4 linked regions of the Drosophila melanogaster genome follow. The protein of the gene in region 3 interacts with the protein of the main gene of each other region in a pairwise test. Each region holds a gene or a part of one and is shown on either strand. Other genes may lie near its edges. The genes, in order: ewg, CG16863, sob and scrt.

Region 1 (4,675 bases), on a different chromosome or scaffold from region 3:
TTCGATTATGCAGAACCGATAAGGCCAGTTCGTGTAGAATTCCGGAAGAATTGCCGATAAGGAATAAGTAGGGCCAAGTTTCAGATAAATCCAAAGCCACTATGGGGAATTTGATTCGTTTTTTGGCATAAATGTGTTTTTAAAAATGTTTCAATTGTTGAACACTTTTTTCTTAACGGATTAAGATCAAGGCTTAAGTTATGTAACGCAAATGTAAATTAATCAATGTTAAAAACCACGTGCCATCGATGACCTTCTTTTTTAGTGCTTACGAAAATTAATTGAGTTTCAAAAAATTTTTGATATGTGTGTTAGTCAATGTTTTAGAGTGATTAATTACCTACTTAGAACACATACGGTTAACGCGACTTTTGCGAATGCTACTTATTGTGACTTTTCGCGAAGATTACATTTTTAGGTAGCAATCAGCAATGCGGCCCTGATAGAAGTGTACGAAATGCGACTCTGAAAGATTTTTTTATCAATAAAAATGTTAAGAGACTTAAGTTTGTACCGATTGTGGACAATCTAAAACATGGTGTAACTCCAATACATTGGTGGATTAGATAGAATATATTGATTTAAAAAAAAAATTTTATGGGAGTGGGCGGGGCACCCACTTTGCCAAAATAATTCTAAATTCATCGTATCTTAAATAGTTTACGAGATATTAATTTATGCCAATAAAACATGTTAAATTCCCCATAGTGCAAGCGCACTACCAGCCTCATTTCACAGCGATAAGCAACTTGTGGTTTCTTTTTATATAATATGAATTCTTTGGTTTTTACATACGGGCAATCTGTGTTAAAAAAAAACAATTCCTTTTATCACTATATACATCCTAATAATGAATTTTATTGTGTGAGTGCCGACGACGGACATAAAAACCCAACATTTTTGGTGGCAAGCAGTTAGTCGTCTTCGGTCGTTCTAGTTTACCAATCCTTCAGGATTTCATATCCCTAAACTATTTTTTTGTTTTTTATTTTTTGTTAAATTTCCCGCGTGTGAAATACGAAGTTGATTGTATGTCAGTTTTTCATTTGGCCTGGCTAGCTTACTCCTTTTTAAATATTGCTAGCTGCCTTGTGAAGGGCTTACGTGTAATTGCAGTTCGACTCCCGAATAATAAATTTTTCGACTGTTTAAAATTTACCATTATTTTGGGGTATCCTAAAAGTTTTGTTACATTAATAACTACATCTGATTAATTCGTGGATCAAATGTTGTATATTCTTTGTAGCGTTCATAATATAAACCTTTAAAAAAAGCTACTAATAAACTGTCTCTTATCAGATACGGAGATGGTGGAGTGCTAGAGAGAAATTTAAAAACTCTTCTAAAAAATAACAAACTAAATAAATATGAAACTATTATAAATATGTGAGTGTAATAGAGGACGTGGCAAGCCCAGGGAACAAATTTTCCCTGCATAGAAAGACTAAAATCTTTTTGGCACCAGAAAACTTAAATTTCTTATATCAAAAATTATTATTATATTATTATATTTATGGATTATTATATGCTTACTCAAAAATATACAATCAATTTTTCAACTAATATAAGTCCGCTAGGGGGACTTGAATTTAAACTTAAATAGCACAATTAGTGGGACCGCCAATCCTCGTTTCTCCTATGCATTTTAGAGTGACCGCTTTCCTTCGACTGCGATATGTATTGCGTGTACATTATCGACGTCTGAAAAAATCACGCGTGCTGTATATCGATATTTGTCATGTACTAAATACCATTCCTCGGCTAAATTAAATCGCAAAATTGCGTCGAAACTTGGGGAAAAGTGCTGGGACAGGCAGCTGAAAACTAAGCTAACGGAAAAGCATCGTGAGGGAAAACAGCGAAACTTTGCGAGCGGGAAATTTTGGAGCTACAACCTAGAAACGGCAGTGCGCAAATGTAAAATGCACGGAATATTCGCATGTGCAGTGTGATAATAAATAAACGCCAAAGAAAATTTTCGGCGCAGGGGCAAACACACCAATGCACAATAGCGGCGGCGCGTTCGTGTGCGTGCGCCTTTTTTTTCTTTGTGAGTGTGTATGTGTGTTATCATAAAGGAGCTGGAAAAACAACAAAAATACACAGGTGCGTATGTGGGTGTAAACTAGTGGTAGGGGTCAACAAATTTTCCGATTTTCCACTGTGACAGTCTATAATTTATATGTGTATATAGAGATTTGTAGTGGCATAAGTGAATGCCCAAAAGTTTCGGAGTTTCTGAGCTAACGGTTCTTGCTGGCTTGTGTGTGTGTATTAGGTTATCATATATGTGTGCTGGTGTATTTAGCTTGTGTTACCGTTACATCGGCGCCGTAAATGAAAATCCAACTGCGAGTGTCCGTAACTTAACCATGCGCCTCAGCTAAAAGTTAAAACAAAGACAGGAAACTCCGATAGGAAGGATGATGTGTAAAGTAGGGTTGTAGAATAGAAACGCCAAACAGGTATCACTTCCAATTGTGTGCACGACAGCACACGCATTTCCCATTTGCATTGGAAGGTATGCGTGTTTTTGATGCATCTGTGTCTGTGTGATTCTGACGTTTTTGGGGTTGCGAAAAACACCCAAACCACCCCCTAGAGACGAAAAATTTGTAGATACACACATGGATAAACAGAGCGGGATGGCTAGCTCACAGCAACCTTCATTGGGTTTTTCCAGTTCCAATAGTGAAGGACGCCACTGTTATAGGTTGTATTGGGGTGGGCTATAAAAGTACAGTTCCAATTGGAACAGGGCAACGGCCAGCCTACAATTACAGATTATATTTGTTACATCTTTTAAATCTAAGGAATAAGAGTATTTTATTTATTTTATGGCCGATTTAAACACATGCCTAACAAAAATAGTTTCTACTCGAGATGAGTTTAAGATAGTCAAGAACATTTAATAGCTCAAACAAATATAAAAATTTAGACATAACAAGAAGATTACATTTTTGCTGGTATTTTCCTGTTTCCCCGACTATAAACTCCTACGAACTCTTACTGTTGGTTGTATATGTACATACATATGTATATTTCTGTCACTGCATTGCTATGAACAGTGGTGGTCTTTGCGCCGACTCCACTGCCGCGACAACCTTCGCATGCGTAACTTGCCTCTCGTTTGTATTTTCGCTGTTATCATTTCATTTTTGTAGAGCTGTGCTGTCCAGCACAGAAAAAAGAGTATGGTGGGAAATTAAGAGAGGGAGAGAGAGAAACAGCAGTACCAAGAAAATTCGATTGTGGGAAAGGGAAAGTAAAAAAACACGGTGGGGTCAATTCTTTGCAGAACATAACAAATTGTCTTATCATAATTTGGTAATTATTGCGGCTGTTAGTCTTGCATGCTTAAAATTATAAAAAAGTGTCTTAAGGTATTTTTAATTTTCCTATATATGTATAGATAGAATAAACGATACTTCGATGTAAACGGCAGTAACTTTTTGGAGTTTACGGAAGCTGGGGTTAAAGAATTTAAATATTCAAAAATAATGAAATATTCACGAATACTAAAAATTGCCTTAAGAATACATATAAAACGCGAAAGCACACATACGCTTACATTAAATAGTAAATTGAGAAAACACCGAATAAGAAGAATTTATGATCGGATACAACAAGAGTATAATTTCTTTTCTAATATTTTGATCAAATTGAAACCGAAATTATGATGTCAAAAACGGCTTTTACGAGTATACGCTTTGTGCGAAATATAAAAACAAACTAGGATTCTTTTTCCTCAATTTCCCTGTGACTTTTCGACTTCTCGATGCAATTACAACCGAAATATATTGAAGTGTATATATGTATATATATATATATATACTTATGTATATATATGTACAGATGTTAAAACAACGATGCTACACTTTTTTAAATTATTTTTTTTTTTATTATTCCGTACCGAATAATATACCATGTGCAAGACAAAGAATACTCTTGGAAAAGGTGCAAGCATATAACATTAAAACTAAGAGAATAATTTTCGTAGACACGTATAGACGGACGTGGCTTTGTCGCCTGTGGTGTTGACACTGATCAAGAATAGTATACATCGCAAATGCCTTCTTTACAGTGTTGCTAACTTCCGACACAAAGTTTAGTTGCGCTTACTGCAACCTGTGGGCATCACTGTGTAGGCCTTAAATCTTAAAGGACTCTAAAATGGCCTACTTCTATAATTAGAAAGAAAACCTGAAGACTACATCCAACAAACGCAGAGCTTTTTAATTTGGCAATACTTTAGGTTCCTTCACACAATTTCATCACCCACCTTTTTCAGAATCCGGATAAGAATGTATATATGTATGTGTCTTAGGGGGTGAACATATACTCTCTCTACTCTTTTCCCCTTTCTCTCATCATCAGATGCCTATTTTGATTACAATCAAGGTTTAGAAGTGTGCTCACTTTTGCTGGGCCACTTTTCTCGATATATGTGTGGCACGCGCAAGTGGGTCGTGCTCACATCCCCTATAAGGACGTGGGAGTTGGTGGTGTTCCCACTGCATTGTTTCGCGGGGGTGATTGGGTAGTTCGAGTAGTGCATGCGTGGTAGTTTAAAAAAGATCCAAGGAAAATAAATAAAAACACTGCATAAGATAGTTTCATCGTGAGGTGCACCTCGAGCTGGGCGAGTTTGCGTGTGTATTCAGTGCGGTGAAAG
Region 2 (4,570 bases), about 10 Mb from region 3:
GCTGTGGACGGAGTCAGCTTTGCGGCTGCCCAGGGTGAATGCTTTGGTCTGTTGGGTGTTAACGGAGCGGGTAAGACAAGTACCTTTCAGATGATAGCGGCCAATTTGCCTCTAGATGGTGGCACTATCCGCATCAAAGGCGCAGACATTCGCGAGCATGAGTTGAAATACCGGGAATACTTTGGCTACTGCCCTCAGTACGATGCACTAAATAAATTCATGACCGCCGAGCAGTGCCTATACTACATGGCATTGCTGCGCGGCCTGAGCCGCCGAAGGACCGATGGACCAGCCAGCTGCAAGGAGCACGTGAAGTACTGGCTAGAGAAGATGCATTTGACCAAATATCAAAAGGTGCAAGTGCGCCACTATTCGGGCGGCACGAAACGCAAGCTTCTGGCGGCAATGGCCATGATTGGTGCACCCGCACTGGTGCTCCTGGACGAACCTACCACCGGTGTGGATCCCATCTCGAGACGATTTCTTTGGCAATGCATCAAGGATTTCCAGGGAAAGGATCGAACAGTGGTGCTCACATCACATAGGTAAGCCCAAAAAAGTATATTTCCTTTTCAAACAGATTCAAAAGTGTACACATTCTCTACAAACAGCATGGACGAGTGCGAAGAGCTGTGCAATCGCTTGGCCATCATGGCGCACGGAAAGTTCAAGTGTCTGAACAATATTTGCGCCCTTAAGCGATTAAGCGGCTTCACGATAAAACTGAAAATGAAGGCGGACACCGAAACGGAGATGAATGTGTCCACGATCACTGGCACGTTGAAGTCAGAGTTTCCTGGTCTGGAACTGCGCGAGAGCCATGCCGGCACACTCACCTACTTTGTTAGCACGCAGGAGAGTGTGGTCCTTTGGTCAAGTGTTTTCAAGATAGCTGAGGAATATCTGGGCGATCGCTTAAGCGCTCTCGTGGCCGACTATTCGGTGAACGAGTGCACACTCGAGGATATTTTCCTCAAGTTCGAGAGAGAGGCGAAATCACAATCGACGTCACGTCAAACCTCCGTGCAACGCAGGCCGGAATGCAGCTACGTTTAGGCCAGATAGTCGGAGTGTCGGAGTATCAAGTAAGATAAGCAGAAGACGGGCGTCGTACATTTCATTATTTCCCTCAAATATGGAACTTTTATGAATCTCTATCCGGTGGGAATAATCTACTTAATGTATTTAGGGACTAATAAAACCAAACAAACACCTTCGACATGGGTATATAAAACTAAAATATAAAAGTAAGATATAACTAGTACGACAAATAAATAATATTTTTTATTTATATTATAATAAATATTTCTACATAATATTTGATGTGCATTGATTATGGGATTAAGGTAAATTATCATAATTCAAAAGAAGTTAAAAACAGTTTTATACCCTTCTATTGGTAGAGGAACAGGTATCTGATTGACGGGGAACTCGACTATAGCATTCTCCCGTTTTTTTTTTTTTTTAATTTAAAATCTCCCGCCTTAGTATTTTTAAAATACCACTCATAATAATACCAAAAGGAACTTTAAACGATCTATATTTGGAATTTAACGATTCATTCAAGAATTAAAAGTAATACATAATGTAATTTTTTTATCCAGCTTGACTATTGAATATTTAATTATGAGAAAAATAAATATAAAACTATTATTACTTGGACGACTTAGGCGCTAATGGAAATGTCAAATTCTCAAAAAATCTCCCACTTGGCCACACTAATGTAGCGTTATTTACAAAATATTCATTTTTTTCGTCGTTAATTTATCGTTTATGCCGAATATGTCGCGTAGCAGAATATGGAAGTTCTACGACAAGTTGGATCGGAATTCCGCGCAGTGCCAGCTCTGCGAGAAAGTAATCAAGACAAGCGGCAACACGTCCAATCTGATGAAGCACATGAAGACCCATCCGCAGATGTAGGAAAGGCTCCTGAGTTCAAAAACCTTTCACAATGAAAATTTTCTTGAAGAAACCTCTTCGACGACGATGTGGTGGTGGAGCGGGGCATATACAAGCGGCGGGAGCAGGATGACAAGCTGCGATTCCGGAAGGTTGTTCCCTTCAAGGAAGAGAGCTCTGATTTCCACAGCGAGCTGTTGTTCAAGGCTGCCAAGGATGCGAGCGGCATTATCGAGCTGGATGATCAAGGAATGATCAAGGCGGCTGCTGAGGATCGCATCTCAACAAAGAGCGTCGGGTATGCGTGGGTCTCTCCGGAGGCCACAGTGTCCCGAACGGAGACGGTTGGCGGCGACGATATCATCGAATTCGAACCCAAGGAGGAGCTCGATGAGTCGGAGAAAAGCCCACTTCCCCAAATTCATGCTGTACCATTTGCCGGCCATGAGTAAGTTTTAATCAAAAGATAGAAGGTAGAAGATAGATACAATTGTAGTAAACTTCATTTATTACCCAGCAACTTAAAAATGGAAGAACCTCTGCCGAGCGAGAGTCCGTTTCACAAGGACATTGCCTTCTTTGTCTGCCGTGACCGCCAGTCATTGCAGATTGTGCAGGGCGAGGGATTCCAGCACCTAGTGAAAGTACTGTGCCCCACCTACAGACCACCGAGTGCGGCGAAACTGGAGGCCATTATCTGCAGGGAGTCGGAAGCGCAGAGGTCCAAGCTCTGCCAGCAGTTGGCCGACATCTCGACACTCAGCCTAAGTTGCTCGGTGCACACGAATGCGGAGAGTCGAAGCTGGATGGAGCTGGTGGCCCACTTTCACGAGGGGCGGCAACGAATCTCCCGAACTCTTTCTGTGCTGCGCCTTCCCGATCTTTTCACCTCCAACGATCTGGTGGATCGCATGGACCAAGTGTGTCAGCGCTTCGACATTCCAAAGTCAAGGATCTGCTGCGTGTCGACAAGGAGCAGTCAACTACTGGAGGATGCGGTGACATCGTTCATGGGCGCTCATCATCATGTTCCCTGCTTCGCAGACCAATTGAATTCTATTTTAGAGGAGGTGGTGCAGCGCCCAGAAATACGTCATTTGCGCGACAAGGTGCGTTCCCATGTGCAGTCCACATTGCAGCTGAATCCCCAACTGGATTCCATACACCGACCGATTAGTGTGTACAATATGCTAGACTTATACCTGAAACAGACTCTCGTTCAAGAGCCGCTGCCGCTTTCGACATCGGAGGTGGATTTGTGTCAGCAATTGCTGGACGTGCTGAGGCCGTTGACCAGCTCCATGCGTGAGCTAAGTCGAACACCATATCCGGCGGCCAGCACAGCCCTGCCCATTGCCCAAACTCTGATCAACGAACTGAAGCAGGAGAAGAGTGCGGAACACATGGTTGCCAGGGAAATACGCTTGTTCCTGGTTCAGCAGCTGGAGGAGATCTTCGAACGAATGGAGCGCAACTTGCACCTGGCATTGGCAAGTCTGCTGGACCCACGCTTTCGAAATATTCCCTTCCGGAGTGGGGCCCTGGTGGCCCAGTACATGACTCAACTCTATGACATGATGCAGGCGCATGTGGACAGCGGGGAGCAAGCTGTTGCAAAGCATCCGGAGAACCGTGATCACTACGATATCTGGGCGGCATTCAAATCCTTTTCGCATGGGAAGCAAAGGATTGTAAACGGCAGCAACGGTCCCGAGGCGGACGATGAGATAGCCAGATACTTTTGCGCCGGCATGAGTACCCTGCGAGCCGATCCCTTTCAGCTCTGGGAGGAACTGGCCGAAGCTCACCCCTTCCTGCACAACGTAGCACAGAGGTACCTGCACGTTCCGGCCACCGCAGAGCCGGCGGATCGGCTATTTACGGCCGAAGGAGCGGCGGTTGCGGCGCAGTACGCCAGACTAATCGAAAACAACATGGAAAACATACTCTTCATGGCGGAAATTCCAACGAAGGAGTGGCAGTTATAGCGTAGTCCATAATCAATCCAAACCTAAGTTGAGCACTGTGTTTTTGTACCCCTTTTATTAACTAATTTATTAATTTACATTTACAATAATGCGAACTATAAAATACATTTTTTAACTTTTTAGCTTCTCAAGCGTTAAGGAACTATTTTTGTATTAGAAAATTAGAGGTAGGGAACGAATAACGAACACATATTCATTAAAGATTTGTAAGTACTATTTACTACACATATTTACACAAATAATTTATTTTAAATATAACTTTATTGTTTACTTTTTTCTTTTGTTATCACAAATCGCCGTTACAAATTCAAATAACAATAACACCAGCAAATTAGCAAAAATACCAAAACCGAGAGAATACCAAAAACTTCCCAACACTGCCGACAGCTCAGTAATTTTCGCTTACACGGTCACACTTCTGATGACGTTTTTTCGTATTTTGAAGGGAATGTAAATGTGGAAAAACTGAGAGATTTGCAACATGCAAACATCCACGACACGCTAAAAACTCACCGAGTGCCGCCACACGACAATCCAACCGAGAGGAGCACTCCGCACAGCTGGCGGAGCACCCAGAAGGCAGCAGGCGAAAGTTGCGTGGCTGTTGTTTCCGGAAGCGGTGGGCAGAGGGAAATCCGAAGCAGTGGTAGTAGGGAAAGAGGCATCGAAACCCACCCAGC
Region 3 (4,932 bases):
GATATCTATATATCACACTCTAGTGGGTGGTCCTTTCGACCCGATGAGATAGCGCCTGCTCCACTTGTCCACCGGCTTGTACGACATTATTTGACTGGAAATGTGGAACAGCCTGGAAGTGGTGGGAAAATATGGGCATTTCTTTGTTTTAGCCCCACTATTGTCGATCTTGTTTTGTTTGTTGTCAAAGGCTTGTTGAAAGAGGTGTTTGAAGGTGTGCACCTTAATGCTACATTAATTGCCCTTGTTGGCACTCGAGCGATAAACATCGGTACAAATATTTGATTTTAGTTCGCTACAAGTGCGTAAATAGTGTAAGTACAAGAGTGGAATCAAAGCGGTAGAAAGGTAGAAAGGGTGAGAAAAACGTTTTGGAAAATTCTTGAATTTTGAAATGAACAACAGGCCTTTGGAAACTCAAACAACTCAAACTCCATACCCGTGGTAAAATTCTAGAATATTCAAATTATAATACAACTAACGTTCTTTTTAGTCTCAAGAAAACCTTTCTATAACCATAAGCCCAAGTCAACAATAAAAAGCCATGTGCACAATTTCCTTTAAGCTATTGTCTTTTATTCGATCGTACATTAAGAGTCCACAATTTAACTTAATATCTAACGTTAATTTACGCAAAGTCAAACTTTCCTGCTATGCTTACGTCACAAATATCCAAGGCTTAAACCAAAGTAGCTAAGGCTAAACTTACACTAAACTAAATGCTGTTTAGTCGTACTAAGATTACGATTACGAAATGGAGGGATTCGTATTCATGAGAGCTGCAATTGAGATTTTATTTTATTGAGTGGGTATCAAAGAGTGAGGAATCAGCTGAGGAAGATCAATCGCTGACGGCCACCAAATCTCTGGAGGATGCTGCAGTACTGGCGGAGCCCGTGGGCAAGCCCAACTCCGAGCTGGAGCTGGAGCCGGAGCCAAATGGATCACTTAGGTTGCCACCCACCACACCGCCCACTCCGGCGGACAAGTTATGCGTCAGGCTGTGACGTCGCAAGTCGCAGTTCCGCCGGAAGACTTTCCCGCAGGAGGCGCAGTTGTACGGCTTGATGTCGGTGTGGGTGAGCAGGTGGGTCTTCAGATTGGAACGCTGGTTGAAGGAGCGATTGCACACGGGGCACTTGTGCGGCGACTCCTCCATGTGCAGGATCTTGTGGACAGCCAGAGTGCGGGACTGACAGAATCCCTTGCCGCACTCCGCGCACTTGAAGGGCTTCTCCTTGGAGTGGATATATCTGCGGGTTACCAAAATGAATGAGGAGAATGGTGGGTTAGATTTTTATGGAAACCAAATGCTAGTCTTTTGTGACAGAGTGATTCTCAAGAGAAGGATCATTTCTTATTATACCATGAAGTAGCTTATCCGCTATTTTTGACCTACCTATGATCCCTCAGATGATCCTGCCTCCTGAAGGCCTTGCCGCAGATGTCGCAGGAGTAAGGCCTCTCGTCCGTGTGCGTTCTTTCGTGGATGAGCAGATTGTAGGACTTGGTGAACTGTCGGTTGCAGAATTTGCATATGAACTGCTTCTTGGACCGCTGGGCTGCCGCTGCCGCCGCCGAGCTGCCCGCCTCCTCCAGCCCTCCTACCGCACCTGCACCTACGCCGCCAGCCGCTCCCGAAATGACACTCATCTTGTCCTGGTACATGGTGGCCTGCAGCGAGTGCAGAGCCGAGTCCGTTTCCGCCTGGCTGAAGGCTGAGGGATTAAACATGAAGCTTCCATAGCTGCTGTCCAAATCTCCCGCCTCGAAGGAGAGAGCATCCTCGCCATCGAGCAACGGTAAGTCGCACTCTGCTGCCAGTTCTGCGGCTGTTGCGCAGTCCAGCGCCGCCTGTTGGCTCGCAGCAGCTGCTGCGGCAGCCGCAGCAGCCGCCACTGCAGCACTAACGGTGCCAATGGAGGGCAGAGGCACGCACTTGGATGTTGTTGGTGTGCTGGTGGAGTTGCTGTTGTTGCTGCTGGGCGAGGATGTGGCGGCAGCTGATGCTGTCGCTGCCGTCAAAGGGGGTTCCCCCGAGGAGCTGGAGGAGCAGCTCGACTTGAGCTCTATATTGGCTATATCGATGAGCGAGGGTAAGGCATTGTTGTCCGCTTCACTGCTGCTGCTGTTGCAGGTGGTGGCGTTGTTGCTGTTGCTGCTGCCGGTGTTGCTGTTGGAAAAGCGAAATACATCCGATTTCCCGGTTAGTCGCTGCAGCGCCAAATAGGATTCCAGGGCCTGGAGATTAAGAGCTGCTGCTGCCGCCGAATTGGCCGGCAGTAGGGCGGCCTGCTGCAAACTGCTGACCATGGTTCCTTGCAGCGAAAGAACGACCGCAGCAGCCGCTGCAAGATCGTTGGTTGCTGCGGCCGCCGTTGCTGTTGCAGCTGCCATGGCTGCGTTGCTGGTCTTACTGCCGATCGGCGATGTTGCAGCGGTGCACTTGTTGCCGTTGCTGTTGCAACTCTCGCTTTTCTTGTGCGCTGCTGTGGCTGTTGCTGCGGCACTTGGCTTGTGGTTGTTGTTGCTGTGGTGCTTCGATGTTGCTGCCTTGCTAGCTGATGATGCTGCTGCTGTTGCGCTTGCCTTGAGTTCTCCAAGCGCCTCGGCAATATCGCTGCTTGCTGCCGGTGAGGCTGCTGCCTTGGCCGGCGAATCGCTGCAAGTTGCAGCTGCAGCTGCAGCAGCAGCAGCGGCACTCAAATGCTTAACTGCCTCCATAAAAAAGTCGAATCCACGCACACACTCAGCTGGATATCGGGATAAAGCCTCGGGCCAGCGATGTTGCTGTGTTGCTGGTTGCCGTGGTGATTTTTTGTATTTTTTATTGTTTGGCGCACCTACGCAGGTTGAGAGGTTCGGAGCGCGTCCACATGAATATTAAAAACCACACGCCATCATAAATCACGTCTTAGTCACGCTTTCAAAAGTCATAAAAATCGAATTTGACGTCTGGCCAAAAACGAAAACAACAAAGTGCAGTCTCAGCCAAGTTAAGTCAAATTGGCAGGCACGCTTTTTCGATTTTTTCGACTGAAATAATATGGTAGTTCTTCTGGCTAGCACACGCGAACAATTTGGGTACAATCGATCTTTAAAATTATGTGCAGTTACTATTAGTTAACTTCCGTTTAATGCAACTTCCGGTCTTAGCCAACACAGACACATACACGTGTTGAGCTATGTATATATATATGTACGTATATATAATATTGTTTATTTTCTCTGATTCTGCCAGTTCTTCTTCTTCTCTTGACGTCGATCAGCCGTCGCTGCACACAATATTGGTAAAAGATCACGGAATAACTAAAAGTCCATTGCTCTGCGGACATATCGCGGACCTGCGCTCACTTGTTGATCGCCACATCTCTCTCGCCATTGGCGATCGCTCCCTGCGAGAGCGGATGAGAGCGTGGCCCACAAGATCACCCACGAAAAGAGCGAGCGGAGAGCGGGAGAAATTCAGGTTGGCCAGGTGCAAACTCGTTTTGTCTGTGTATTCTGAGCACCTTTACTCCCGCTCTCACCCACACACGCGCATTTAAATCAGAGGTAGAGCGAGAGCGCGTGCAAGGTGAGAAAGAGAGAACCGGTTTCTGTGGTTAATATGCCTGATTTTGATTTTGATTTTGAGTGGGTGTTTTGCCCACCCTCTCTTTCCCTCCTGGTCGTGCCATCTCTTTCTCGCCCATCGTGCCAGCTCCCTCTTGTCTGATAATATTCGTTTATTTATATAATTTTTGCAAGTAGTTGTTTATGATTCTTTCTAGGAAATTTCGCAAGCTTTGCTAAGTACTTTTAACCTTGGAAACTGAAGAATTTTGACGGATAATTAAAGGTTTTAAATATAGATTTAGGCACAAGTAACAGATGCAGCTTACATTATGAACTTGCCAATAAGAAGAAATCTCATATTATAGCTATTTTTACAAGTTATTCATACGAATAATTTATTACTATATCAAGAAAACATTGTATAGAGGGAAGAAAACTTTAAGCGAACATCCCTTAATTCACTAAAATCAAATGTGATCGGCGGCCATAAAAGGATTGCGATCGCCTGATAAGGAATTACAAGCCAGATGTTTTCTAGACATCTAAGGAAACCGTGGAGTTCCTAGTAAGGAATATGGAACAATGGTCTAATCTATTAAATATTAACGATCTTAAAAGGCTTTGGATTGGCGGTCAGATTGAAACACCTTGAGATGGTTTCCTGGAAATTATTACACTTAAAATCCATTTGCAATAGTGGAGATTTTTCCGAGTGCATCAACCTGCTAGCACTTGCAAATTGTGGCCATTAGTCAACGCGTTGATTTCTTCAGCCCCAAGCGCAGCCAGTTGATTGAAATGATTCTCATCGCACGCCATCTCATCGCCGCAGAATCGCAGACGAAAGAGCGAGAGAAGAATGCTGCCAGAAGAATCAAAAATACGCTGGCACAGCAAACCCAATCACAATTCGAATCACAGCCGCAATCATAGCTGAGACTTTTCAACTGTCAATTATTTCCTTATTCTTTATGCAAAGCCCCCAGACGCGAGTGTCCAGTGGGGGAACTCGGACTTAATGCGCTAAACGGCCCAAGTAAATGACCAATAATCATGGGAGCTGCCAGCTCTCCGGCTGCCGGTTGGTTGGCCACGAAATAAGCAGGAAAAAACTGCTGGAAAGAGCCAGTCCAGCACCGAGTGCAATTTATTTTTGCATTAAATTGCAATTTGGACCGGACTCTCAGTTTTCTACCATTTATACAGATATTATCGTGATTAATAATGCACAAACATGTCATACGCTCGTTTCGTGTGTGTTTGATTGGAGCGCATTAGGATCGCGGCATTTAATGATCCGGGAGTCTGGAGTCTGGAGACCAGAGATCCTCAGTCCCACGGTAGCAATTATGTCGCTTAGTGGCCGGCTTACGG
Region 4 (4,762 bases), on a different chromosome or scaffold from region 3:
TCGAAATAGTTTAAACAGGGAAACCATAGAAAAAAGGTTGCATCTGTTTCGAGTGGGGCACAGGAAGTGGGTTCAACGAAGGACCCCGGGGGATACCATAGTAAACCGAATGAAAATTCCAATGAAAAGTATATATAATTTTTAAGGACTGCAGCCGCTGCAGAAGCGACGCTAAGCTCGTCTGAGGCAGACAAATTGTCTGTTGTCGCTGGCTAATTAAAAGGTTAAGAACTTTGTAATTTAAGTGTCTGATTATGCAAAGCCCGAGCTCCCCGTTCAGCTAACCGAAGCTCCACTTTAATTAATTAGTTTTGTGTGTGTTGCACTGACTGGGAATGCGAACAGATTGTATATGTAAGTAAGTCGCTTCTCAAGATGTTCTAGGGATTTTATGGTGGGTCATCTTGAACGCATTGTTTGAAAGCATTTCAAGGATTCTCTAAGGTTTTTACTTTAATCGAAGTAAGGTTAGTACTACATTTTAAAGTAGTATGTTACGAGTTATCTCTAGATAATGATTCTAGTTCTAATAGGTTCAATTAATAGCCAAACAAATGTTTTTACAAATATAAATATTGCTATAGACTTCACATAGCTGGACCCCTTTGCGGGCATCAAAAAACCCTGGAAATCCATCCCAAAATCGTGTTCATTTCATACTGGGAGTGTGGCATATGACACATCCAGCTGTCAATCAAACCCAACTCGGCAGGAGCTGCAATTAATCATCCAACGATTTGAGTTGCCGCACTCATATCCGACCTCTGTGATCTGAAAAGTAAACCACTTATTCATGGCCAGTGGAGAGCCGTCAGTGCAGAGAGACGAGGGCGACAGAAGTTAGTTTGTGCTGTTTATCTTGTACTAACTGAGTTAGGGCCAAGGACCAGCGACTGTTGCATCCCCTCAACCCGTTACCCCAACCAGCATAGTATATATGTTTACGGGAAAGTAGCGTACACCCCCCTTTGGCCATCCCGTCGCTGGCAATTTGTTCAAAATCAGAGCCAGCAACAAATGCAATGCAACAGCAATTAACTCGGCACAACTGCCACATTCTGGGCGCAAAATCCACCCCGTGTATCGTGAATGGGAGCCTCAGGCGGCCAAGAGCCAAGAGGCAAGAGCCGCGAGCCCCAAGCCGAAAAAGTTCCAAAAGGGCCAAAGAGCCATGAGCCAATTCTCAGGTATGGCTGGGGGTCCGGTGCCTCCACGTCGAAAGAAAGAGACCGAGTGGGAGAAGGTGGGGAAATGGAAAGAGAGAGGCGCAACAATTTTGAAATCGGGAGAAAGCAACAGCGGGGAATGTTTTGGCAATGAAACACTTCCTGATTGTTGCCTTTGCTCTAGGGCGCTGGCACACGATGCGATTTCTTAGAAGATATGTTAGAAAACTCTTTGTTTTTAAGGGTTTCACTGGTATTTTAGGCATGAAGGCCAGCACTAAGTTATGTTTTATTCTTTTGGCCGCTATTACCTTATGTTATTTCAGTGATTTAGGTTTCTTGAGCATATTCCATCGTGTGTACCAGCCCACAGGACGAGCAACAGCAATAGCAACAGCTATGCGCTTCCTTTCTGGGGGTTGGAACTTAGGGGCTGTGCCGCTCTCAGCGTTCCGCTCTCTGGCGCTCCAGTGCTCTCGCTCTTCCCTTCGGCTCGTTTCGGCTGCAAGGCGACGCGGTTCGGCTGGCTGTCGTTATGCTGGGGGTGGACCACCCTTATAAGCGGGCTCTCGGGCCGCAAGACTCTCATAAGCATTCAAGAGTTGCTTACGTTCGGTTCGTTCGCATTTCTTCTCTATCTTATATAATATTATATTTTCTCCTAAATCAATTTTTTCACTACCAACAACAACAACAATAATAACAACTCAACTATTCTCAACTCGCGTCAACCTTAACTTTCTCAAAAACAACAAACTACAACTCTACCACTACCAATCTGTCAACTTTCCGTTTTTAAACTGAAACTGCAAACCAAAACATTTATTTTCGTCTCGACGGCCATTGACAAAGTTTTGTTTTCCAAAAACCCGAGGAGAAAATTGCCAGCCCAAAAAGAGTTGAAAGGATACCCCAAAGATTCGTTCAAAAATCGTCCCCCCGTTATGTTTTGAGTTCAATTCCGTGTTGAAAACAAACGTGAACGTAAACGCAAATGTAAATGTAAAAATCGATAAGCCACACGCAGCCAGCCAACTGAACGCGAACGTGTCCGTGTGTGTTTCGTGGAGCGAGGGGATTGAACGGGGGGAACTGACCAAAAATCGGTGGCCCTGGCCAAAAACGCAAAAACTCCGGCCCAAAAAGAAAAAAAAAAATACAAGAAAAGCAAAGCAAAGCAAAGTAAAGCAGAGCAGAACAGAGCAGAGAGAGCGACTCGAAACTCCAGCCCAAATGACGGATACGGGTCTGACAACGAATCAAGCGCCGAAATGTGTGAAGTGGCTGTGAAACCCGAGGAATCCTAACTAAAAACCAAACCAATTTACAATAAAATGCAAATTACTAAGAATATTTAACCGAAACGCACCAGACCACACCACTCCACTCCACACACACAGACAGACACACGAGACACGGCAGAAATGCCAGGCCTGAAATTCAACAAGCTGTACGACTAAAACTTTAAGAGATCTTTCGGCGAGCCAAACTCTATATACAATATATATATATATATATATATATATTAATATATATATTTTCCCATGCGAGATAACAACAGCAACGTTTCCTTTCCGCTTTTGCCACAAATAATACCCCCTGAGACGGTCTTTGCTCGCTCGAAACTCGACACTAGCTTCAGCACTTAGCCCTCTAAGATCTACTAACTGGATCCTGATCAAGCTCCTAGCCAAAACTCCAACTCCAACTCCAAAACCTCTAATCTACAAAGAAAAAAAAAAACACAGAAAATGCCGCGCTGCCTGATAGCCAAGAAGTGGAAGGCCTATCCCTGGCTGGATCGGACGGAGGATACTAGCAACCAGCAACAGCAGCAGGAGCAGAGTGCCCCCAACTCGCCTCGCGAACTGGAGGAGCTGCATCTCAAGTCCAGACGCTCCACCCTGGACGACGACGAGGAGATCGATGTGGTGGGCGACAAATTCCTGATCAAATTGGAGAAGCAACGCACAACAGCAGATGCTGCCGCAGCAGCAGCAACATCATCCGAAGCAGCAACATCGCACAGCAGCAACAGCAGCAACATGGAGGCATCGGCGACGACGACGACGTCCAAGTGCTGGGGACCCAGTTCACCCACGGCGGGCACCACGGCTCCAAGTCCGCCTCCCCATTCGCCGGAGGCGGCGACGCGAGTGGCCGGCAATGTTTACAACGGTAAGTTAGCCCTCGGGAAAGTCGGGAAATCGGAAAACACTGCTCCAGCCAGTGAGGCGGGGGTGGTGGAAATCGAGATGGGGCGCACGTAATCGCTGTCATTGATGTGGCCATTGTGCGATTGCGAAACAATTCCGAATCAATTTAATTGCCTTTGTTGTCACTCAATATTGTTTGCAATTCCGGCCAGCGGGCCACAAAACGCAGAACGCACAGACCCTCGCCGACTTCCTACTGCCAACTTCCAGCTCGGTTTCCATTCCCTTTGGCGTGAAAACAATGGTACAGGCCAAAATTAAACCGTTTGCCTTCGTCCTTTTTGTTGAATGTGTGCCTGTCACTGTTTTCCACGTACAATTGCGAAATTAATTATTCAGTGGAAATTAGAAGCAAGGCAGACCTAAAAACCACTCACAATAGACATCCTTTCTATAGGTTTAGGCTTTAAAAGCTAAAAATAACTTACTACGAAACAGATTTAAAGTAATTGCACTAACCCATTTTTTAGCTGTGAGCTGTTGCTCTTCTGTGTACTTTTCTACTTCGCCAAAGTTCTTATTTTGCGGAGAAAATCCTTTGAGCAAACATAATATTTTCCAGCACATACAAAATAGTTATCTTAGCACAACTCCAGGCGTGGTCTTTGATATTTATGTTGACCTTTTAAAGTTTGCCCTTGGTTAAAAGAAATTATACGCATGTGTCAGTCCTTCATATTTAAATGAAAGCTATTGTTTAAAGTTTGTTAAAGAAAATATCTTAAGAATGGCAGAGGGTAAATGTTTTGGCAGCTTATAAAGAAAAGGAAACGGAAAAATTATAATCACAAAGAAATTATAAGTGCATGTCTAGGAAGTTTAAGCGAATCATATACTCTACATCCGACTACATTAAGTATATTTTCCGGCACAAAAACATTACAATGACTGAAACTCTTATTTCAAAAGAAAAAAGTGTAGCATACTTCAGGAACCATGATAAATGCTGCTGAATAAAACTTAACCCATGATTTAATTTTTTCTGCTTTTTACAGGCTACACCCGCGAACTTTCGCCGCTGCACTACACCGCGTACCTGCCCCGCATGGAGAGCGAGATAACCGTGATCCGTGCCGCGGCTACAGCTCTGGTGGCAGCCAGGACATCCGGAAACGGAAGTGGAGATCAGCACCTGGCCGCCTACCAAACGCCGCCCTCGTCCACCACGTCATCACCCTCTTGTTCGCCCAGCGGCGCCGGCGATCGGTACAGTCCGCTCTCGAGTGGACAGACCTCCAGTGAAAGGAAGTGCTTCAGCAGTACGGGAGCCACACTGTCGCTGCCGCCGAAGAAGAAGGACATCTACAGGCCGTATTCCTTGGACGACAAGCCGGCGCACGGCTATCGAAGAAGGGTACCGGCGGAGGAGGACCTGCATGC

Evidence for each region.
Region 1: the proteins of sob (region 3) and ewg interact in a two-hybrid assay, tested with the Drosophila melanogaster proteins (one large-scale study listed by BioGRID).
Region 2: the proteins of sob (region 3) and CG16863 interact in a two-hybrid assay, tested with the Drosophila melanogaster proteins (one large-scale study listed by BioGRID).
Region 4: the proteins of sob (region 3) and scrt interact in a two-hybrid assay, tested with the Drosophila melanogaster proteins (one large-scale study listed by BioGRID).

The regions. Positions count from the first base shown.
Region 1 is NC_004354.4:276,616-281,290, reverse strand, and holds the start of ewg (erect wing), read left to right. Parts: upstream 1-1,656; 5' UTR 1,657-2,106; intron 2,107-4,675. UniProt on the Drosophila melanogaster protein: May function as a positive regulator of transcription in developing and differentiated neurons, regulating common aspects of neuronal differentiation and maintenance. Requirement in the CNS may be higher than in the peripheral system.
Region 2 is NT_033779.5:13,789,246-13,793,815, forward strand, and holds CG16863 (uncharacterized protein), read left to right. Parts: upstream 1-1,713; 5' UTR 1,714-1,782; coding exon 1,783-1,919; exon of another isoform or gene 1,920-1,972; coding exon 1,973-2,350; intron 2,351-2,419; coding exon 2,420-3,890; 3' UTR 3,891-4,019; downstream 4,020-4,570. Other genes in the region: Eato (engulfment ABC transporter in the ovary), read left to right, coding at 1-545, 612-1,056.
Region 3 is NT_033779.5:3,577,456-3,582,387, forward strand, and holds sob (sister of odd and bowl), read right to left. Parts: upstream 3,315-4,932; 5' UTR 2,725-3,314; coding exon 1,400-2,724; intron 1,254-1,399; coding exon 842-1,253; 3' UTR 558-841; downstream 1-557. UniProt on the Drosophila melanogaster protein: Pair-rule protein that determines both the size and polarity of even-numbered as well as odd-numbered parasegments during embryogenesis.
Region 4 is NT_037436.4:3,982,147-3,986,908, forward strand, and holds the start of scrt (scratch), read left to right. Parts: upstream 1-1,749; 5' UTR 1,750-2,917; coding exon 2,918-3,344; intron 3,345-4,377; coding exon 4,378-4,762.